3 linked regions of the Drosophila melanogaster genome follow. The protein of the gene in region 2 purifies or fractionates together with the protein of the main gene of each other region. This does not show direct contact. Each region holds a gene or a part of one and is shown on either strand. Other genes may lie near its edges.

Evidence for each region.
Region 1: the proteins of Vps33B (region 2) and Syx16 purify together in Drosophila melanogaster (affinity purification with western blotting, with the first as the bait; one study listed by BioGRID). This does not show direct contact.
Region 3: the proteins of Vps33B (region 2) and Syx7 purify together in Drosophila melanogaster (affinity purification with western blotting, with the first as the bait; one study listed by BioGRID). This does not show direct contact.

What each region holds. Positions count from the first base shown.
Region 1 is NC_004354.4:20,388,063-20,395,321, forward strand, and holds Syx16 (syntaxin 16), read right to left. Parts: upstream 5,690-7,259; 5' UTR 5,581-5,689; coding exon 5,500-5,580; intron 5,426-5,499; coding exon 5,292-5,425; intron 5,230-5,291; coding exon 4,386-5,229; 3' UTR 4,272-4,385; downstream 1-4,271. Other genes in the region: jb (jean-baptiste), read right to left, coding at 2,128-2,128, 2,193-2,321, 2,378-2,706; l(1)G0004 (lethal (1) G0004), read left to right, coding at 3,474-4,196; HERC2 (HECT and RLD domain containing protein 2), read left to right, coding at 6,818-7,259.
Region 2 is NT_033777.3:25,468,739-25,477,036, forward strand, and holds Vps33B (vacuolar protein sorting 33B), read left to right. Parts: upstream 1-4,751; 5' UTR 4,752-4,777; coding exon 4,778-4,834; intron 4,835-4,889; coding exon 4,890-4,990; intron 4,991-5,047; coding exon 5,048-5,366; intron 5,367-5,430; coding exon 5,431-6,876; 3' UTR 6,877-7,018; downstream 7,019-8,298. Other genes in the region: CG4553 (uncharacterized protein), read right to left, coding at 7,024-8,115.
Region 3 is NT_037436.4:21,441,676-21,450,082, forward strand, and holds Syx7 (syntaxin 7), read left to right. Parts: upstream 1-4,158; 5' UTR 4,159-4,348; intron 4,349-4,485; 5' UTR 4,486-4,579; coding exon 4,580-4,700; intron 4,701-4,767; coding exon 4,768-4,837; intron 4,838-5,187; coding exon 5,188-5,332; intron 5,333-5,405; coding exon 5,406-5,822; intron 5,823-5,880; coding exon 5,881-5,976; 3' UTR 5,977-6,453; downstream 6,454-8,407. Other genes in the region: Alp1 (alkaline phosphatase 1), read right to left, coding at 696-847, 957-2,061, 2,166-2,425, 3,000-3,075.

The sequences.
Region 1 (7,259 bases), on a different chromosome or scaffold from region 2:
TTTCGAGCCGCAAGGATTTGGACCAAAAGTGATAGGATTTGGCAAATAGTCGGGGCAGCATCACCTTGTGTCGCAGGACCTTATACTAATGGCCAGCAAAGTGGCAGCGGAAAGAAGGAGCCGCAATAGGCGACGCTTAAGCGGCTTATCCTGGCGAAACAAGGGTGCGACTGCGACTGCGACTCAGGCACGGAGTATTAAAAAGGTACAAACATATGTATGTATATATGACTTTTGCTGGCCAAATGTGCATACACTTAAGTCAAAGTCAAACTGCGGTCGTAGCCATCAATGCACATCTGCGTTTGACCAAATCAATGTCGAACAGACCGGCAGTATCGCGGCCTAATTGCGAAATATGTACTTCAGTTTGGGCGTAGCTGTTGTTGATTTACTTCCCGTGTGGCTGACGCAGGATACATGCTCGCCTTTGAGGTCCTGGCCCGAATCTAAGCTCAACTAATTATAACTTTGGTGCAATTCGTTCAAAACCTTTGAGGCCCTTGCGCGTGTATTCGCGTTTTCATCTCGCGCTCGTCGTCGTTTTCGGAGCTACCAAGGCTACCAAGGATCTCCGAGGTGGGCGGTGCGGCTGAAGTGGGCGTGGCGCAACTCGAGCGGCGAGCGCTTTTAGGCGATTTTGCTGGCAAAATCATGTGCAGCCAACGGCTTCGAGAGTCATTAAGCTTATTAAGTGGGCGAGCAGATAACCCAAATGAGTGCATGCCAAATGAAAGCCAACGCAATTTGCACTCATATCGCCCACGAATTCCTTGCACTGTTAAAAAAAGAAGGAACTGAGCTCAGCTGGTTGGCGGATATATGCAGTCCCAGTTTCAAATGCCTAAATGCCCAGATAAGTGTATCAACAATTTGGACACCGATCGAAATGAAAGGAGTAGGTAAATTCTGATGCTATACACAATTATTTTTTAAAACGTGCATCGTTAACTGACTCGAAAAGTTTCTGGTTAATCCACTTCTTACTATAACCATTTGTAAGTTTGTATCAAAATCAAGATTTTTACAAAGAAAATAAACACTTCAACGTACCAAGTTTTGAAATATTCAAACCACATCAGTGTGTTGAATAACCCCAAAACAAAAAAAAAAAAAATATTTAGATAATAGAAACTGGATCTCAATGGAGTCTGCAATATCCGAATAGATAGCAGATGCTAAGTATGTATGTTTTATATATATATAAATTGCATCTTCAATACTCCGTAGTTCTTAAGCAAGTTTTGTCCAGTGTACTTATTCAAATAGCTCATGCTCATGGAAAAGTTTCCCAAGAGGCCGGAAAAGGGTCAGGAGGTGGAAGAGAAGAAATACGAGAAAGGGCGTGGGGAACCGGAAACGGAGAAGATAACAAACAAATTGCCAGTGCAATTGCAAGCTTGAGATTATCGCCTGCCTGCGGTGGCCGCATTACTCGCTCTTAACTTTACTTAACTCCACTTTGGCTTACTTAACTTTGCTTCAAGTGCAGGCCAATAGGAGGCATTGCAATGGCCTTCTTATCGCTGCGGTTGATGCAAAAGTAAGTCCCATTGCATCCCCAGAAACTTTTAATGGCTGCGAGAGGAGCGCCGCCTACGCTGACCACCATTAATCTGAAAACCTAATACCCGCCTGCGGCTAAACTTCAATTTACCCGCTTACTCGATTGCCATCTTTCGATAACGATTGGCGAGCACAGGCCTAAAAGCTAGCTGCTATGCCACGCAGGACACTCATGGTTTCCTTTTTGACATTAAATTCACTTAATAATATTACCTTTTCGCATTCTAATGCCGTTCCCCAATTATAAACGAATTTATATTCACACAACACATACATATATGTATATTTATATATTAAAAAGTCACATATACATATGCACATACTCCACGTCGACCATCGACTATCGGATACCCATTACTAAGCTAAAGGTGTATGAGCTATGTATGTATACCTTTTTGCGTGCCTCTTTTGCGAAACTCTTTCAATTACCGACCTTAACTGGTAAAATAAAACGGCTCTTCTGAACTATTTTGTGATTTATTTTTATAGTGATTTATTTAATGGTTCGTTAATGTCCTGTATGGTTGAGAGACTCTGAGGAAGAGACATTGGTCATTAGTGTCTGAAAAGATATGTATGATTGAATATGTGTAGAATGAAGGTAATTCCTCGTGAGACTTGTTTACCAGCCCTGAGGACGCTCTAGCTTTAGTCGCTTAGCCAACGGATTCCCATCTGGATTTTGCTCTGAAACCGAAGTTAAATACCCAGTTGGGTCCTCCACGGGAAACGTTCGCTTCTTTACGTCCAGCATGCTAATGAAACTATGAACTTTATGTCAGGACTCTCACCACGAATTACTTCAACTCACAGCAAATTGCTGCTGAACAACAGCTCATTTAGGCGCTCGTGCTCTTCGCGCGAAGGACTTCTGTTAGGCTGCTCCATGTCCAAGATCGAGTCCATTCCTGCCAGCATTGCGATCACGCTAGCTTGCAAGTTGCCATCATTGACAGATGCCGTCTGGGCAGACTTATTCACTGTATTGGATGGCAAACCCTTAGTCATCGTAGACTGATTGCCCATCCACTGATTGAATCCACGCGTAAACTGAGGCTGCAATTCTTCCGGAATATTCCGGAGGAAATAGGAATGGGATTCGTTGTTCGGATTTGGCATCTTGAAGTTCCGTTGTGACATGGAAATGGTTTCTCCGGTACGGGTTCTAGATGTGAACTGAATTCAATAGGGACCAAAGCAAACCAAATGTCAAAAATAGGCTACCTTTTGATTGATTGAAAATGAAAGGGTTGCATTTAATAATTATGCAAAAATGATTTATATTTAATTATATTATATATATTATAAAATTATTATGATATATTTAAATTATATTTATCCCACTCGTCTGTAGCTGATTAACAGTTATCTGAATATGATTCCAAAATTAAGATTAAGTATATATGTACATATATACTGTTATTATATATTAACAGTATATATATAACAGTATATATATACATATATATGGGCCTAACAGAAACCATTATTCCTTTCGGTACCCTTTGCCATCTTTTGAGAATTTACATTGTGTTGTTCTATATGACAGTGACGTCACCTTATAGCTTTAGGCTGTACTTGAATTATTACTTTTGAAACAGCAATAATTCAATGAGTGATCAAATATGAATTCGCACTTCAATCAGCCTTCAAATCCAATGATGTTTCTTATCAAGAATTCAGGCGTATTATATTTCGGAATTCTACATTCTACATACTTTTTAGCCAGTGTAGAATTGTACATACGCATTGGTATTTTCGTCGAAATTCAGTGGTGTGGTATTCAGCTACAGATGTATTTGAAATCTCAGATTCGAGCGCGGTCACACTGAGCACGTGGAGCAGACAAAGCAGCTGGATTGAGAAATTATTGGAAACAACGCAGTAAAAGCACAACAGATTGCACCATGGAGGCAGAGAACATCAGAGCAGACGCATTCGAGCCGGCGAAGAGAGCGACGAAGCGCGGAGCCAGCGGAGGCGGGCAGCAGGACGTGGAGATGCAGGTGGACGAGGCGACCGGCATTGAGGGCCAGGTGCTGGGATCTTCGCGAGCATCGGCGCCGCCCAAGGCAAAGCGGGCCAGAAGCGAGCTGCGCAAGGTATCCGTGCCGCCACACAGGTACTCCTCGCTCAAGGAGCACTGGATGAAGATCTTTACGCCCGTGGTGGAGCACATGAAGCTGCAGATCCGCTTCAACATGAAGGCGCGCCAGGTGGAGCTGCGTGTGGGCCCCGAGACGCCGGACATAGCCAACCTGCAGCGCGGCGCCGACTTCGTGCGCGCCTTTCTCTGCGGCTTCGAGGTGGACGACGCCCTGGCCCTGCTGCGTCTGGAGGACCTGTTCGTCGAGTCGTTCGAAATCAAGGACGTGAAGACGCTGCGCGGCGACCACCAGTCTCGCGCCATCGGCCGCCTCGCCGGCAAGGGCGGCCGCACCAAATTCACCATCGAGAACGTGACCAAGACCCGCATCGTGCTAGCCGATAGCAAGATCCACATCCTGGGCAGCTACCAGAACATTCAGCTTGCGCGCCGGGCCGTCTGCAACCTAATCCTCGGCTCGCCGCCCAGCAAGGTGTATGGCAACCTGCGGGCAGTCGCCTCGCGCCTCTCGGAGCGCATGTGATTGGGAGAGCGGACTGGAGTGGACTGGACTGGAGTGGAGTTCGACTTGAGAGGGAGTAGTTGCGGTTTTTTTTTTAGCATTAGCAATAAATAATAAATATAATAACATGTATTCAAACATTTACAATATACACAAACACACACAGCGAATGACGGGAATGAGGTCGGCCCACTGGAGGCGCGTGGGCAACTAGAGCTTGGTCAGGATGAGCAGCAGCAGCATGAAGAATGTGACCGCCGCCAGGACGAGAATGACGCACATCTTGCGGTTCTTGCGCTGATACATTTCCGCCTTGTGCAGCTGGCGCAATCCCTCCGAGACGCGCGTCTGCGTCTGCTCCACGTTGTAGTCGATGCGGTCGAGCACAGTGCCCTGCTCCTGGACCATGTGGCCCAGGTCCTTGAAGATGTCGTTCAGGTCGTAGATGGACTTGACTATCTTGGTCACCTCCTGCTCGCGGTGCTGCGCCACCCGCGTGTTCTCCTCCTCGAAGAGCAGCAGCTGCTGTTGGGTCATCCGGCTGGCCGGCGGCCTTTGGAAGTGATCGTCGATGGCCTGCTCGTCGTCCTCGAACAGATAGCCGTTGCCGGACTTGCCCTCCGCCGGCGGCTGCAGAAAGTTGTCGAAGGAGTCGACGAAGTTCTCGGCGCTCTGCTCGCCCAGCTCCACGTTTGTGAAGACGTCTCCAGCGCCAGCGCCGCCGCCGTCGTCGAAGTACTTCTGCGAGCGCTCCTCGCGGGAGTTCAGCTGAAGCAGGTAGGCATTCTGGCTGGCACGGAACTTCACCGTCAGCTCCTGCAGCTGGAGCAGGGCGCAGTGTACCGCGTTGACCGTCAGGCACTGCTCCATCTTGCTGCCCACGCCGATGCTGCTGCGCACGCACTGGATGTGCCGGTGCGTGGAGGTGATCAGCTTGGAGACGATTTGGCTGAGCACCTCGATGTCGCACTCGTCGTCCCGCTGATCATCGAAGGCGGGTCGCAGGAGGTGGCGTGCGTGCAGGGAGCCCAGTTCATCCAGCTTAGGCTTGATCCTGCAAACGAGTGATGGGAGTGAAGTTGAACCCTGCGCATGGACTACTGTTTGTTTACCCACTTAGACATGGTGTACTGCGCCTCCTCGAACTTGTCCAGCCAGGCGGGCGGCGTGCCGTAGTCGTCCTGCAGCTCCAGTCCCTCCTCCGCCTCGCGCACCGAGTGCTTTAGAAGGCGCTCCGCATCGCTGCCCCTCTGGAAGACGGAGAAACGCAAAACATATGTTAGTTGATGATAACAGTGAAGACCCCAGACGGAGACGCACTCACCCGATCGTCGTAGTGATTCCGGTTCTTGGACGCATTGTTGCGCATGATGACGAACACCTCCGTCAGGTTGCGCGACGTCATCCTGGCCGTCTGCTCCCGATTTCTTGGGGATTGGAAGGATTGATCCAAGTCCGCTGAAAACTCAATCAGATTTTTTCCAGTTTCGTTTTGACACAGCAGCGCAGTGTGCCCGCTGACTTGCTCGCCCAGAATACCGATAGTCGCCACGACGAACTGGTCACCCTGGCCTGAACGCACCGTTACATGTCCGAGAATTATACTTATTTTAAATATTATTTTCTTATTATCTGTAGAATCTGTACTTTATATGTATACTCCTAAACATCCTATTTGCGAAAGTGATTTTTTCAATATACGGATTGGATAGCTCCAATAGAAATATTCGGAAATTACAGAATATAGTATTGCTTTGTTGAGTTTCAACAATTTATAAAGTTAATTCTGTACACACCGTCACGTAAATTGAAATGCAATACTTTTAGCAATAAAACGACCGTAATAGTACAATAAAAGTATTCAATAATTTGTTATGTGCGTTCTCTTTTTTTGCGTTACGAAAGAGTAATATAACCGAATGATATTGTAAATGATTTTAGAATCAAGTACATTTTAGGCTAATGTTTAAAAATTACAAATTTACAGAATTTTAGGGAACTCATTATGAGTTTGGCTTAACGTTTTCTAATAGCCAGCTTCCACTGTACTGGGTTTTAATCCGTGACACAAGCCTGTGACTTAAGAACACTGAAGAGCTATCGAAAGGCAAAACATATCGATGGCTCGACCCCCTGATATCGATTACTTGATAGCTCAGTCAGTTTGCACCTCCCCCTGATATCGATTGCCATCAAACAATTTTATTTCATTTTAAAATAATTCCTTGATTTCAAATTGCATTGTACTGGTAACTGGCACTTCCAATTGTGACCCGAAAGCAGCAAGCGCGGAAAACGGAGAGTTCAAGTGCGGGTGGAAAAGTCAGGATGTCATAACTAACTCCGAGCGGAACAACGAAATGAGCAGTGCGGACAAGGATAACAACGAATTATCCTGATCCTGGACGCCCGATTGCAGTTGTGTGTGTGCTTGCGCGCGTGTGCGTGTGCTTAGTGTGTGTGCCAGTGACGACATTGACCCGCCTTCGCCCCCGCCCCCACCCGCGCTCCAACCCACCACCACACCCCCCTTGAAGGGGTAACTGTGCCATGCCATTGTCGTTGTTGTGGTTGTGGTCGAGCTCGTTTCTAGCCTGACTTCGGCGGTGGAGCACTAGGGAAGGCAACACGAAAACACAAACATGTTCAACCGCCAGGCGAGCGGAGGAGCCGGATCCAGTGGCCAGGGTGCTGGGTCCAGCCAGACCGCTTCTGCAGCACCAGTCTCCGCTGGAGTTGGAGTAGGAGGGGGTGGAGGTGCCAGTGGAGCAGCGGCAGGAGCAGGCTCCGCAGCAGGATCTGGATCGGGATCAGGTTCCGGATCAGCAGCACCGCCCAGCCATTCGCCCGATCTCTACCTGCGCCCGCTGCCCTTTCTGGACGCCAAGTGGCTGCGCGCCGATCTCATCGCCTCCCTGCGCAACGCCGCCGACGGCGCCGTACTGTGGAACCATCTGATCCAGGACTGCGAGCTGGTCTCGTCGCCTACCGCGCCGCTCCTAAATGCCCGCGGACAACTATCCTACCTGGGCGACGATGGCAAGCACTACTGCGGCGCTCAGCAGCTCAAGTGCTCCTGCTGCC
Region 2 (8,298 bases):
GCTGAGTCAAAGTGCAAAATAAAAAGTTCAGCTCGTTTCAATTGCTCAAATCTAGCCTTTTGTCTTCATCGCCTCGTTAATTTAGAAAAAAAAAAAAGAACTCTGGCAAATAGTGTTGACACTGGAGATTCTCGGTTATAGTATTTAGAAATTTTATTTTTTAAATAAATAAGCTTAATAACAATGCTTATTTTGTTAAAGCTCCAAAAACGCTTGAATTTCTGGGCTGTCCGTGGTATGGTGTCCGTTCTGTCCGGAGTTTGGTGTCCGGAGAACGGTGCGAGGTTTAAAATTCCCACATCTCTGGTCTTCTTTGTATGTCGGCAGTTTCTAAGAGAGTTAACTTAACTAGTTGGTTCCGCTTTTGTTTGGTTTCTGTTTTCCTTTTTTGTTTTTGGCCGGCGACATCGCGGGAAATTCAAACTGAACCGAATAAACAAAGGACGGCGGTGGGGGCGTGTGGCAGGCAGATCGAGGGAAAGTGGGAAAACGCTGAGACGGAGTTGCGTCAAACGCTTTTCCGCCTTCTCAGCTATGCGTGGCACGTTGCCTCGCGCTCAAATTGCTGAGAAAGGTGAGAAAATTCGAGGGAACTAAACTGGAGATTGCACGACCAAGCCAATCCAGACCAGCGAGAAAAACCAAACCAAAAGATTTTTCATCTGCGCTCGAGTGCCGTCATTTTTCGGCTAGGCAGCGCGCTTAAGACGAGGATGTGAAAACCCCGGACTTGTGAAAGCCGCTGGTGTGAAATGGTGGGCAGGTATGTAGGATCTTCAAATGAATTGGCCGTGTCGAAACAAGTTAACCTAATGGCCGACTAGCTGCTTTGCATAAATTTTTTCCCCGAATTTCCAATTAAATTCGCAATTTTCCAGCGGCCAAAGTCGAAAATTTTACAATGACCTCTAATCAAAGTTGTTTATTTTATCGACTGTTTGTATTTACATTATTCTAAAAATAAGTGCAAAGTTGATTTTGGCCATTGCGAATAGGCAAAAGCAAAAATCAAATATATCGCCATCTATCAGTTTAAATTGAAATTTTATGCACAAATTAAAGTTGTTCTGAATCTTGTTTCTCAAACACATCTTCCTCATTCAAATATACGTTTTTCCAAAATATACAAATGTGCTAGAGAATGTATTTCATGTATTAATTCATCTGTAGCGTTTAGATACTTCTCAAGTATATTTCTTAGGCTCAGTTCCACGAATATAGTGGCCAAGTAACGATTTGCTGATTTATTCGCTATATTTGCCGCACCTTCGTTGCTTTTCTTTGTTTCTACTTGGACACGCGCCAAAATACTTTGCTCAAGGCAGGCAAACCACACACACAAACACTATCTGTACGTCAGAGCAAGTCATCCATCCCAGATTCTACATCCCCAACATATATCCATTGTGTCTCCCAACTCGAGTTGGGTTCACTTTCGCCATTCTGGTTCGGCGCAAGAAAAACAAACATGGCTCAGTGCGTCCGTCCCAAAGAAATGATGAAAGCCGAAGAGCGAAGAATGCCGTAGAATGAACAATTCTTTGTTACTTGTCTTGTCTTCGAGTGAGTCGAGTGAGTCACCCTAACGTAAAGAAACGCATGAGTGCGAATTGCCGCGATTGTTTGCGGTTTTTTGATGAGTGTGCTAAAATAAAGCACTCACTTTTCTTTAAATGTACATGCATATATGTACTCACTTTTTGGGTCTAAAAATATTGTAAAAGAAATATACAAATTAAAAATACCTAATCATGTAAAATGAATTCGTTACCAAACTAGCACACAAATCAGCTAAAAAGCGACGCAGTATTGGCAAATGTTCAAAAAACGTAAGAATAAACTTCAATCGCATTTTTCCAACACACACATGTGTCAAAATGTACCGAAAATGCTGCCCAAAAATAGAACCCGCCAAGTATGGGAATAATTACATTTTTAAACAGACTTACGCCAAACACCAGAGATCGAAAAAGAGAGTGAAACGAAGCTAATACAAAGCAATTTATATGTGTACAAACAGACAAATGGAAATATTTGCCATATGCCAACAGAAGAACAATACTAATTGGGTTTGATGTGTGAGCGTGGAAATGAGCAGAGCAAAAACAGACATCAAACCGACGAAAATTCACACGCCTCCTCCACACAGCGAACCAAAACGAGAATCTTTTTGGGGATTGGGTAAATTTTTTGGAGGGGGTGGGGGGTAACGAATAGCAACGCACGTTGCAAAAATGCTTTCTGCTTTCTTTTTCAAAATCATTGCTGTTTGCACGAGTTCTTGTTTCGTTTTCTTCTCCCGTAGATGTGTAATTTGTTTCAGGTTTTAATTAGTGCCGAACTTTGGCAAGAGAATTTATGGGGGTGCGATTGGAATTGGGATTGGAATCACCTTCGGGTGATGGTGTTGTTTATTTACCTATGTAAATGCAAATGAATTATTTCGATTTGCTTTGCTTTCAGCTTATTATTGTTTTTATTAAGCGAGTGAAGAGCGCATCTCGGACTGGAAATCGAATTGAGAAACGCCGATGGCCTCGATAAACTCAGCGGAATTTCCCATTAACGGGAATCCACATCTTCTTTAATCCAACTAACGATTAACCACTCTTATGAGTAATAATAAAATGTCGCATTAGTCGGAATAAAAATTCATTTCAAGTAAAGATAATTAACTTGCTTTTAGATTTATTCCTAAAGCGGATCCTAATGATTTTTTCTATATCTAGTATATAATGGTGAAACTAAGCAGTAATACTAATTTCAGCACAAGAAAATCAAATTGTTTGTATTTTATGCAATACAAACAAATCTCTTAAGATTTGTTTAGTTCTGAAATGATGATTCATGTTTAAAATTTCTCGCACTTTCGAGAGCAAACCTACAATTATAAAAAGAAAAATAATATGAACGCAAATTTTACATTATTTATGCTTTCAATTATAAAACAATAAATATTAAAAAAAATCATATATAGTTGAAACATTCTAACGTGACTCTCCTAACAAAACATACTGTTGCAAAACCTGTTCTAAGCTAAACTACTTAAAAACCTTTTAAAACTTGTAGGCAATTAGCAAAAGTTGAACAGTCTGGGCAAAAATTAAACTTTTAAATAAATCGAAAGGCCAATAAATTATAAAACCCATGGCAAAAACTTATTTTTAATGGGAGAGAGGGAAATACAAACAAATAAAGCATAATTGGGAGGGGCAACAAGAACAACAACAATAAGAAACGGGCATTAGAAAGATGAGCACGAAGAAGAAGATGCGATTAGAAGGCACGGGAGCGCAAAGAATAGAAAAATTAAAAGTAATCTAAACAGCAACCTGTGCAGCGTGCCCGAGCGAGACAGCTGCTCAAACCGGTATCGCAACAACAATTGAACCGCAAAGAAAACGCGAAGAAGACACACACACGGACTATAAGAAAATAATGTTAGCCACTAAAACAAAAACAGAACGAAGCGAAAACACAAAGATAATGATTGACAAAGGCAACAATGTACAACTGCAAGCAGGACAGAGTGAGAAGGAGAGAGCGGTAAAAAAGAGACGAATCTGCGGCACAAAAGAGAAGACGAGAACATGCAACAAGCTGCAATTGCCCAAAATAACAACAACAAACCAGACCGCACGGCTATTTTTGTCATTAGATTAAATATTTCACATATTTTTGCACAGTTTCACCCACATGCGCCAAACCCAAATTATTTATAAACAATGTAAGTGCAAGCTCACCTGATAACTGCAAAATAGGCGCCTGTAACTTTTGATAATATGGAAAATCTCAATTTAAATTTGTTGTTGGCTGTTGCTTTGCTTGTTGTTGCTGCCGCTGCTGTTGTTGTTGTTGTTGAATTTCACGCGAAAGCAGGCAAGACAACAACATAAAATCACAAACACTTGCACGCACATACGTCACACACACCCGCACACACACTTGGACAGCTGAGACATAAACACACGGAGAGCAAATCGCAGCGAGAATGGGAGAGAGAAAGAGACAGAGAGCGATAACAAATTTGTTTTCTGGTTTTTCTTCACGATTTTATTACACGCTTTTCGAATGGCTAACCATATTTTGATTCACATTTAATTCGCTCCAATCACAGTGTGTTCCGTGCGCTTGCTAATTTTCGATTTTCCACCGCAGAACTCCGCCCGTTTTGCTGCTGTTTTGGCAATCGTCTCTCTCCTGGCTAAAAACATATGATTTCGGTTGACGGAATCACGATAAAAACACATAAATGCGAACAGGGCGCGCGCAACAACTTCCCACGACAAACTCTCGCTTCGGAATTTGGAACGAAACTGCCACTTTTGCAGCGAATCGCGCTTAAATACCCGTCTAAAGATGGGAACGCATGGCGAACCGGTTCGATAGTTCGTGAGCGAACAGCCTTCGCACAGTGGTATGCAATCAAACTGAGCAGTAGATTAAGTACTTTTGTTTAACAAACCGGATAGCTCGAACTTTGAAAATAAGTTTTGGATCGGCAGGAATTAAGACTGTGCACAATTAATGCTTTTAATGGTGACTCAACACTTTGTGACGTCAGTAGTAGCATAAGTTCAAAATAATTAATTTGAGTATAGCTTTTGTTTAATGTATTGTATAGAATAACTAGTAATACTGCTTTTTTGACTGCGATAAACATTTACGTAATAAAAACTGCATATATTTGCTTTGTGACAACCCTATTTTATTTTGCGTGCGTCACCTTACATTTTGCTACCTTGCTGCATCAGCTGTTTGTGTTGTGCGGCGAAGAATGGATTTGACGCTGGACAAAAAGCTGCAGGGATTCCAGTTGGTGGCACAAGAAAAGGTATAATAATGAATCGGAAGAGTGAAACTATTAACTACCTGCAATTCGACTGCAGCTTTGTTCCATACTATGTAGCATACCTGGAAAGAAGGAGTTAATTTTGGAGCCCGACTTGATAAAGCCACTGGAACATGTTGTCACTGCCTCCTGGCTGAAGTAGGTGTTTAATCCATATTTTATGGATATTTACGTCTTATATATACCCCTTAACAGGTTGAAGGGCATACAACGGATCTACAAACATGATGCGGCACAATCTTTGCCCCGATCCGCCGATCAGGTGCACATCTACATGATCCGCAGTGTTTTGGGTACATTTCAGACACTTCTCAAGCAATTGCAACCCGTGGCCTCAGAGGAAATGCCCGACATCTCCATGAAAATGTATCACATAGTCTGTGTGCCCAGTTGTTACTCCTATTTTCAAACCCTGCTGGAACAGGCTGGTTTGTACGGACTGGTGCAACTTCATCACTTTAACTGGGACTTCATCTATTTTGATCAGGGAGTTCTCAGCTTGGAGCTGCCCAATGTGAGTAGATGTACATTGAACATTCAGAAAAGAGTCTTTTATACTGGATATTCTTATTATTCAGCTTTACGAGTGTCTCTACCTGCAGAAGAACACATCTCCATTGCCTGCGGTGGCCCAGAGCCTGCGATTGCTTCAGATGATTTGCGGACAACCGTCTTTGATTCTGAGCTTTGGCCACCACTCGTCGCAGCTAATGCAAATGGCGAAGACTCTTGGCAAACTTCCGGCGCCCACAAATCCTCCAGACTATGGCGGCTGGCTGGTCATCGATCGGGATAAGGATTACCCCGCCAGCTTGCTCACTCCGGCCATCTATGCAGGTCTTCTCTTGGAAGTTTTCGAGCATAGTTCTGGCGAGATTCTGGTAGACAATTCCAAGAACAAGATCCGCAGCCAGCGTGTGGAGTTACTCCAGGGAAAGAAATCCAAGATAGGCGTAAACTCAGCCAGCAAGCCGTGTTCCATTCGTCTTAACTCCACATCCGATGAGATCTACGGCGATAATCGGTACAAACGATTTGCTCAGGTCAGCAGTTTGATTCACGCACAAGTAAAAGCCCTGGGCTTGGAACTGCAGAAACTCAATGACATGCAGCTGGACGAGATGCATGACTATGTGGCCAGGAAGCTACCCAAACTAACCGAGCTTAAGAGCAAAGTCCTTAGGCATCTGAATGCCAGCGAGATTGTGATCCAAATGATGGGTAACTTCAGGAAGCTCCAAACGCTGGAGGAGGACATACTAAACAATGATTCAAGAAAGCGATTGCTAAGCGAGATCGACGAGCTGTTGACCACAGATGGTCAGAGATTTAATACACTGCGACTGCTGTGCCTCTTGCATCATTGCGTTGGCGTGGCGCCCGAGGAGCTGCAGATATTTGCGCGGAACTACTGCAATCTGTTTGGACACCAGGAATTGGGCGTGTTCCAGCAGTTGTCGCAGGCGGGCTTGTTGCCACCACTTGTGGTGGAGAAAAAGGCGCCAACGAAACTGCTCTCAAATCTACCTCTGCCCAAGTTCCAGCAAACGGAGTTTCAGGCCAATGCTAATCGGCTAAAGCTGTTGACCTCCAGTGGAGATGGTCAGGATGGAGGTTCCTCCTCCAAGAGCCAATCCAGTGGCTTGCAGACCTGTCCCAGTTTTGTGTTCAATGGCACCTACATACCATTGGTGGCTCAGCTCTGCTCCATTTTGCTGAAAATCAATAGTGCTGAGGAGTTGTCCTCGAAGCTGGGCATGATTGAGGGGCTGCATCTACACCTGGACAGCGGAAAAATCACGCCCAAGGCCTATGCCAGCCAAGTGAAGCTAAACGGAGTTGCAGATCAGGATATGTTCCCCTTGCGTCTCAGGAATCTCTTTGTATTCATTGTGGGTGGTGCCAGTTATGCGGAAATCGCCGCCTGCGATTTTGTGGCAAAGCTAACAGGCGCCCAAATAACCGTGGCATCCGACTCTCTAATGGCGGGCAGTGATTTGATCGCCACCGCCTTCAACCGCTGACCATGAAGTAACTAAGAATCTGTGTATCAAATGTTTTATATATTTTTATACAAAACAATGATGACAAAGCTTGTGATTAACAATTTTCGAAATTTACAATTTAAACAATGCTCTTTTCGAATAAATATTACCTAAAAGTGGCATTTGCTATTTATCACCACTGGCTCTGGTCATTCCAGGCACTCGGTAGAGCAGCTCTCCATCGTCATCGTAATAGGCATCCTCCACCCGGTAAGTGGCTCCTTGGCGATGCAGTTTCCGGGGAATAACAATGCGTGTTTTCACCTGGGTTATTTCATACTTGCGCTGATCCGCGGCACTGATCACAATCTCGCTGCTCGCAAACTTGGGCACGAAACTGGGCAGGAATCCGGTGCCACTGGGATTCTCGATGGGCCGCTTCATTTCCTCTGGAACTGCGGGCGCAGACTCAACGAGCTGCAATTCCTTAAGCTCCTGCAGCCGCATCTTCTTTTTATTACGGATTTTGTCCAACAAATAGGTTTCATCTTCGGCAGCAGAGGGTGGAGCTTCATAGCCGGATGGGATTTGTGGTGTAGGCATCTCCTCTGTTGTTTTACTACTGCTGCCCAGCAGTTTGCGGAATTCGTTGCCTTGCGGAGTCGGTAGTTGTGATTTTGTGGGCCAATCCTGGATTTTAAGCTCCCGCAGATCCTGCCACCTTCGCTCGGCGAATTTCTGCAGATGCTGGAGAAGAGACGGTGGGATACTGAAGTCACCCTTTCCCGTCCCTAAAAGCTGCCAGTTTTTAATGACGGTTTCATCGTGGGAGCGTATCCTTTGCACACTTCTCGGTCGCCACTTGGCCCGCAGAATTTTCTGCACAATGTCCGGAGTGGCGGGAAAACTTTCGGCCAATCGCTCAACGCTCCATTCCTCGGGATCTCGCTCGTGCAGCAGGCGCATCTGCTCCTTTTCGGCATGAAGCAAGAGATTGGGCAACTTGGCGTCTCGGAAATACTTGTGCTTTATCATAAACTGACGGATGCGGTCGCGATGCTGCTGCTGCTCCCTCTCGTACTGCCGATGGGTCTTCTGCACGTCCATGAAATCCGACTCCAGATCGGCGTAATCCTCGCTAGCTTCGCTGCTCTTTTCCGGGTGCTCCTGCAGCTGCTCCAGCTGGTAACCTAGTCCAGGATTTGCGCGACGAGGAGCTCTCGCCAACAGACAGGAGCGAGCAGTGTGCAGGCCGCGTTGGATCATGCGGGCAGTCATCTTGGTGAACAATTTTAAGTCATTTAAACTTTTTGTTTACATAAACAGCCGCATGCAAACCGCGATTAAGGCTATCGATATATAGCGCTTATCGTCTTCTAATTCATTATCGATAAGTCGTCGGTATAGCACTTTACAAAACGTAACAACCCTCCCGAAATTGTGTTGCTGATTTTTTTGTTG
Region 3 (8,407 bases), on a different chromosome or scaffold from region 2:
GTCCAATTTCAGCGTAGGTTTTACCTTCAGAGATCATGTTTTTAATCAAATTTCTTTTTTCGACGGTACAATGCTTTATGCGACCCATGACTTGAGAATTTTGGGCCTTCGTTTGGAAAAAATTCAATTAAAACCTTCAATTCAATTCCTTTTTATAAAATGTGTGGAAAAAAAAACCCAAAGCAATCACTTCTATTAATATTATTCAGCAAATACGTGGTCAGTGCTATGTTTGTTACCGCCTAATTTCGCGCACTTTTGCAGCAAGTGCCCAAAAACAAAAAGAACCGTTACGTTGAGAGAGTAAAAATTTATTGCTCAGAGAGACCACATATGGTACTTATTATTCATGCAATCTGACTTAAAAAAAAAACATTTAATAATTTTTTTTTAGGAAATCAACTTTCCACCTGCAGTAGTGCTATTATTTTAACCGCAGCTCTATATCGGTTAAGTTTTCATTATTTGGGGGTCTATCAATTGACATCAGGGAGATGATTTTGTAATGTAATTTGTCTGTTTTTTAATTAATAATTTTGGGAAGTGCTGTTGCTTCTTTGCTTATTCTCTTTATTCAGGAACTATATAAGCTAAAAAGTTAAGATTAAATATGGCGATTCTAGAATCTCCGCAATTTGTTTTAAGAATAGATCATTTTATTCAATTTCTAAACATATTTATTCCTAGGGGATTTTCTAGGGAGAGTATCTTGCTTTTGGCTGCAGATCGCAATATGTAATTCCAGGTCCTAAGCAAGAGGCGAAGCCCATCAAATGAGGCAAGGTGCTTTGTTCGTAAACTCCAGTGAAAAGATGAGACCATGGACCTTGAAGAAGATATTCCACAACTTTATACATTTCAAGAGTTTTGATTAAATGCTTGGATTTAAGATTATATATATCATTCAAAACCCATCTAAAAAAAAAAACTTAAAAACCAAAAAAACATGAACTCACCATGAGCATAGACGGCCACATCGCCACCGCCGTGTGTCTCCTCGGTCATGGGCACTCCATGTGGATAGATGGCATCCGGTTTGGAAAAGTCCAGGTTACGGAGATCAACGCGCTCCACCACTCCGTCCGTCGATTTGTAGAATCTCTCGTAGGCCGGGCCGTTGGCATATGAGATGGACGTGTAGGGCAGCTGGTCCACATTACTTAGCTCGGAATTGAGTCCTACTATGCTGTTGTTAACATCCGGATAGCCGCTGATCGTGACCGTGTGTCCGTGATCCGCACTCACCACAATTAAGGTGTCCCAGGGATTGGTGAGTTGTCGTGCCTTTCTCACTGCGTCCGAAAACTGAACGGTTTCATCCAAGGCCTTCTTGGCCTTGGTCTCATGATGGGCGTGATCGATTCGACCGCCTTCCACGAAAAGGAAATACCCGTTTGGATCTCGGGAAAGCACATTTATGGCCGCTGCCGTCATCTCGGGTAGCGTGGGTGTGTCTATGCTGTCGTCCATGTGGTACGCCAAGTGAGAGGCATTGAAGAGCCCCAGCAGGAAGTCAGTGTTCTGCGCATCATTGTTCAGGAGATCCGTACGACTAAACACCACCCTAGCATTACCCGGCTTTGTTTGTTGCCATTCCTCAATGAGGTTCCTATTATCCAACCGCTGGCCCTTGTTTCCGAACACATCGTTCGTGGTATTGGGCAAGAATTTAATGGTTCCACCGCCCATGACCACACGCAGTCGCTTGCCCACATCTCCGTCTATCAATTGCTGGGCGATATCCGGACAGTTTCCTGGATTTTGACCCAATTTGGTCACGTCGTAGTCGCTCTCGAAATCGCGATTCGAAGTGTGCGCATAAACTCCGGCCGGACTGGCGTGGGTAACCCGAGTGGTGGTCACCAATCCAGCGGATTTGCTACCTTTAAGCGCCCAGGCGGCAATCGAGGAGAGCCTATTCTGCGGCAAGCGCGATCCCCTGCAGTCGTTCAACTCCACATCGGCTGTCACTCCGATGGTCAGATAGTTCGCCTTGATCCCCGACAGATAGGCCGATGCTGTGCAGGCGGAGTCAGCCACTTGCTTATTGACGCAATAAGTCTACAATGACAGAAGGGCGTAATTACTGTCTAGTTATTAACGGACTTAATAAATTTATTAGCAGTTTATTGAGATAACAAATGACTTCGTTGACTTCTAAGTACCTTGGACAGACCGACATAGTTGAATTTCTCGAACTCCAGACGATTCCGTTCGCCCACCACTCCACGCAGCTGTCCATCGAAGATCCTGCCTGCGGTTACCGTGGGAACGGACATACCGTCGCCCAGGAAAAATATGACATTCTTGGCACGATATTGGTTTGGTGGAGTGGATAGCTTATTGTAGAGCGTGCGCTGGGCGTCGTGAAACCAGAACTCCTTGCTCTTCAACTCGGAAATAGAGTCGAGGTCCCAGGATTGCTCTGAAAGTAATGCGATTTTAGCTTATTTCATTATAAATTAAGAATGCATATTATTCTGATTAATTGAAACCATTTTTTGTTACTAGCCGATATGCATACACATTTCAAGTACAACCTCAAGAATTTATCAATTCCAAGCACATGTTTCGTTTTACAAAACAAAAGCACAGACACAATTGCCATTGTTTTCCACTCCACTTTCGAATTAATCATTAAAAAGGGAAATTGCTTTCAGAAGATAGCACATAAATAAAACACCGAAAGAAACCTATGGAAATTAAGCATTAAAATTAATTCAAATTTAAATTTTAAAGTATTAGTCTTATATCCACTTTCGTTAAAACATTCTCCTTCGGAAAAAGTGATGTTTGACAGCTCTGTTAGCGGGTGTCAAATATTTAATTCAATTTACGAGTATTTTGCTGACGCCTTTTATACTCCGTTTAGCACTTGATTAATCAATTCTGCATATGTTTTGAGTTTGCTTTCGACCTGGCACACTCTCACTCGTTTTTCATTTATTCATTTCGGGTCTTTTGGGCCCGTTTCTGATCTCGGTCTTGACGTTACGCACCTGGCCCATATTTGTACTGGCTGCTACAGGCCGTGAGTTGGAGGGCAAGAGCCGCAAAGAACCGGAGAGCACGCATCGCACGGAATTTTGATGAACTAACTTTCGACTGGTCGGGGCGTTACGAAGTCTACGGATCGACTAAGCCGCATTTCGCAGTTGGAGGCTTATTTATACGAGCCCGGTAAGACAGGGACCGAAAATGCGAGTCGAATTATAAAAAAACACTGAGACAATAAATTAAAACCCGTCCCTGTATTATAAAGCTTCTAAATACACCTACCAACCGGAATTTCGGGATGAAAGAAAGGCATTTATGCCCTTATTCAAATTATGCAGCCAGCACAGCTTAGATTAAAATGATGTTCTCCAAAAATCAGGTTCGTTGCATTGGTCATTTGCATAATATCTTGCATCGCAGTAGGAGATGATGTAATTAGTGGATGCATCGAAGCAGCCTAATTCATTCTGCGATCTAAAGTTCATTAACCGTGCCAAACACCGGATACTGATAAATATCTCCAATACACTAATTTGTAACGTTAATTTGAATTAAGTTGCTTTTGATTTTTTTTATAAACGAGTTGCACTTATTTTGTCTACCAGTTATTTGACTTTTTTAAGAAAAGTAATAATCTTCAATTTTATTTCTGCTAAACAGGTTTCAAATACCCTGAGTTGTACAATGTTAAATTTTAAGTTTTGAATAACATTCTGGGTAAGCAAAATAGTTTTGTATACCTACATTATTATTAAATTTGGTATGAACATATTTATTGAACGGAAGGAAAACTGTCTAAAATTCGACTTATTTGTTTTATAAGGCATCATTGTTGGTCATTTTCATTTCTATACGACATTTTCCTAATCTAACATTTTAATTTTGGAGAAAAAGTGCAAAATAATAATTTATAATTTTGAATAATAACATTAAGCAGTTCATTTTAGACATGGATCGATTTTCAATAATAAATCTCAGGACTTATATACATTTTCGAGACAAAATATAGGGGGAAGAATATAATTAAAATGCAGTTCTATATATCTGCTATTTGAATGCCGCGCCAGATATCGATATAATTGAAGTGCTGTAAAGCGTAGCAAGGAAGTGATGCTAAACGCATCACGCGCTAAGGCACTTTTGGGTATTAGTCGAAAGTGACTTTCTCACAAGTTGGCAGTTCCATTCCAATTGTTGTAAAAACCTAGCTAAAATTTCAGTTTTGCGAACATTCCGCCTACTTAAATCAACAAATTTCAGATTGCGAAACGCGTAAAAAGTGCGAAGGAAATGCTCTAAGATCAAGGTCACCGGCGAAGGTCACCAACGACAGCTAGGGCAACCACAAAAGGTGTGTGGCTGTGCAGCAAACAAAGGGAATGCGAATTGCAAACATTCCGACAAACAGACAAACTAACAAACAAGCACGAATATAGAATATAGAATCAAGAACCTGGCTGAGACGCATAAAAGCGAATGTGATATAAGTGGGCCACGGGGCTAATTCGATTGTCTGTCTCTCCAGGAACAACTTGTCTCCAGCGATAACTCGAAGGTCATCAAAGTGTCTGCCTACGAAAGCATGGACTTACAGCATATGGAGAATGGTCTAAGCGGCGGGGGAGGAGGTGGCCTAAGCGAAATAGATTTCCAAAGGCTGGCCCAGATTATAGCCACCAGCATCCAGAAGGTGCAGCAGAATGGTGAGTGGCGTCGAAGCACTTGCCAACTTTCGCCTATGACTAATCTAGGTTTCTGTCTCTTTCGCAGTGTCCACGATGCAGCGCATGGTCAATCAACTGAACACGCCCCAAGATTCTCCGGAGCTCAAGAAGCAGCTGTAAGATGATTATCATTACGATCTCTTCGTTTGGAATTTAAACTGTCCCCATAGATAGAACCCATTGCAGATATACATCGATTATTCGAATATCTCTCAGACAAATCATAAATTCTAAAGACATAGTGAAGATCTCTATTGGGTGTTTACTCACAATGTCTAAAAATCTTCTTAAGCCAATACAGCCTTTTAATACATTTTGCGCACATCAACCGACCACATAAACCAACAGCAAAATAACATTGTAGTCAGTCATTGGTTTTGAAAGTTTAAACGTATCAGCACAGTGTGATTCACAAATCAAATCAATGTATAACGCACGATAAAAATAACAATCCCTTACTCCACAGCCACCAAATAATGACCTACACCAACCAGCTGGTGACCGACACAAACAATCAAATCAACGAGGTGGACAAGTGCAAGGAGCGCCACCTGAAGATCCAGCGGGATAGGCTCGTGGACGAGTTCACGGCGGCACTGACCGCCTTCCAGGTTTGTTTTTGTTCTCCCAGATAAGCAAATGGTTTTGTGAGTCATGCTGATTGTTTATCATTGGTATTTTTAGTCTGTTCAGCGCAAGACGGCGGACATAGAGAAGACGGCGTTGCGGCAGGCGCGCGGAGATAGCTACAACATCGCCCGTCCACCCGGCTCATCGCGTACCGGCAGCTCCAACAGTAGCGCCAGCCAGCAGGACAACAACTCCTTCTTCGAGGACAACTTCTTCAATCGCAAATCAAACCAGCAACAGATGCAGACTCAGATGGAGGAGCAGGCGGACCTGCAGGCCCTCGAGGAACAGGAGCAGGTCATACGGGAGTTGGAGAACAACATCGTGGGCGTGAACGAGATATACAAGAAGCTTGGCGCCCTGGTCTACGAGCAGGGACTGACGGTGGACTCCATCGAGTCGCAGGTGGAACAGACTAGCATTTTTGTCTCGCAGGGCACGGAAAATCTGCGCAAGGCGAGCTCTTACAGGGTAAGTGCCGCCCCTACAAGGTTATTATTTTAAATAATTTAAATATGTTGTTTATTAGAACAAAGTGCGCAAGAAGAAGCTTATTTTGGTGGGCATCCTGAGCGCCGTGCTGCTGGCCATCATCTTGATACTCGTTTTTCAGTTCAAGAATTAGAGCCTTCCGGCATCTCCGAATGATTCAAACCAAACTAGTAAATTGTTGTGAAAAGACAAGAGTTGCCGCATGCAGGCCCCTAAACCCCGTAATTCCCCACCCAATCCTTTGGACCTTAGGCGAGATTATGGCTTTAATCCTTAATCCAACTTCCAATACTGGCTGAAATCGAAAACTGCGACTCGTAGACGAAGATATAGTGTTTTGAGGAGTATTCACCGGCACGTGCATCTGTTATATTTGCTTTAAAAACAATTTTATATTTTATGTGTACTACTTTTATTATTACGCACCCTGTATATTGATTATTAGTATTGATTAACAACTGTTGGCTTCAAATTCTAATTATGTTCCGAAACTCATTCGCCAGCGCTTTGTATTGTATTGTATTGTATTTAGAGTTAAGAGGCAGAGGAAGCCATATATGCGATGGCATACACACATGTACGAAAAATGAAATAATAAACATGAAAATCGATCCTGCGTGCGTTGAAAACACTTGGAGCACTTCATTTAGGGCCCGACCTGAATGAATCAATGAATGGAACTCGCCAGCTCTTCTGGGCATTCGGAGAAGTGCATGGTCATCGACTCCTCCTTGGCTTAGCGATCATTAAGATTTCGTGTTGGCCATTGTTACGCATGCTTTAGCGGCTTAGGAGCTCCCATCTCCCGACTCCCAACCCGATCTCGATCCCAAAACATTGGTACCAATCCGACTATGTGTTCAGCGAGCGCACACTCTCCGATGGCACATTAATGCCGCGACAGACCTGGATGCGGTGGACCCACTTCAGCTTGCTGCATCGTTGAGGTGTGTCAGCCGGGGCTAAAGGGTTTCCTCGTCGCCGGACCCCATCTTCCTCCACATTTGAAATTCCAGCTCCGCAGGCCTGCATACAAATTGAGTTTAAATTTTTTGCCAATTCACTGACATTGATAGTTCGTTTGGGCATCATTTGTGTGGTGGCTTCTTATCCACTTGTTGGCATCGAGTGGTTTTCTCGCATGCATTTAAGTGCAGCTCATTTCCTTCTCGAACTCGCCCCGGGGCTCGCCAACAATCATTTCCCGCCAAGTCATCCAGTTTTTTCTGGCCCAAGTCGTTTCGGATCTCTGCCCTGTGGTTCGCGGGGTATATTGAATCATTCAGGAGAGTGGATTAGGTATTTCAAATGGGGAAAAGTGTGTTATTTTCAAACTAAAAGGTGAGTAATTACTATTATAATTGTGGTAATGATATATAATTTATAATGTTATTTATTAAATCGCTGTAATATTTTCATGTTAATAATTGGCCTAATCTGATTCTTAGATATATTTGCTGGTAAATTTAATTCTTTTACCTAAAATCGTAACTATTATTGAGTTTAATTTTCAAAATATTTCTGAGTTCGCAGAGTATCTGAAAATGCCCCTGAGGGAATTCTTACCCATTTTCTGGTTGTTTCTTTTGGTCCGCTTGGCTGTCAGTGGTTGTCCAAATACGTCACCGAGCTGCCCGACCAAGTCGACTGGGAATTATTGATTACTCGTCCGTGGGGCCAAGGGTTAGGCCCCGATTGTTGCACGGGCATCACGGCCTAATCACATCGATTATGACTACATGCGGCACTTGGCAGGTTGGGCAGTGGACAAACCGGGACCAAATCCCGACCCGGGGCCATGGGTCACGTTGTGAGCTCGAGTGGCGGAGGTGTTGGAAATTAAGAGAAACTATGCACACCTACATGGCCCACGGAAACACAGCAGGTAGTCAGTCGTCCGGCTGTCTTGGCCAAAAGGCTGCTGTTTGCATAGGCCGTAGTCGCTAAACCTGGAACCATGACAATATTGACATCTTCGGTGGTCGACGGACATAGCCACCGAATCTCATTTGCAAAGTCATTTTGTCCAAATAAATCCAGCCTCCGTCTTTGGTGATTTTCCCAGCATAATAATGTGCGACCGAACACAAGCCGCATGTTTTGACTTTGGATGGCAGTGGAACGTAGAATGGCCAGTGGAAATTCCGGAACTTGGTAAGCGCTGGATTGACTTACCAACTTGCTAGCCAGGATTTTGAAATTTCTGGTCCTGGGAAAATTGCAGTTTAGAGGGGAAAACTGTGAAATGGCAATCGCGCATCTTCCGGCTCCTAAACCCCGATAATCCCTGCACATTTCGCACGTTGCTTTGCAATCAGTTCCCTTCTACGTACATATAACTCTGATGATTGTAGCAATGATGAGGTTGTTGTGCGTGGTGGATAAACATCCGGTTTATGGCATTTCCCAAATCAATAAACTTATTATTATCCCATTTCCAACTCTACCAACGCTACCGCGCCTCCCATTTTATTTGGAAAAATTCTTAATTACGCGTTCTTATGAATGGAAGACGTAGTGGCTCGATTCTTCTGCTCTTACAGCATCTTAAGTGGAAATACTTG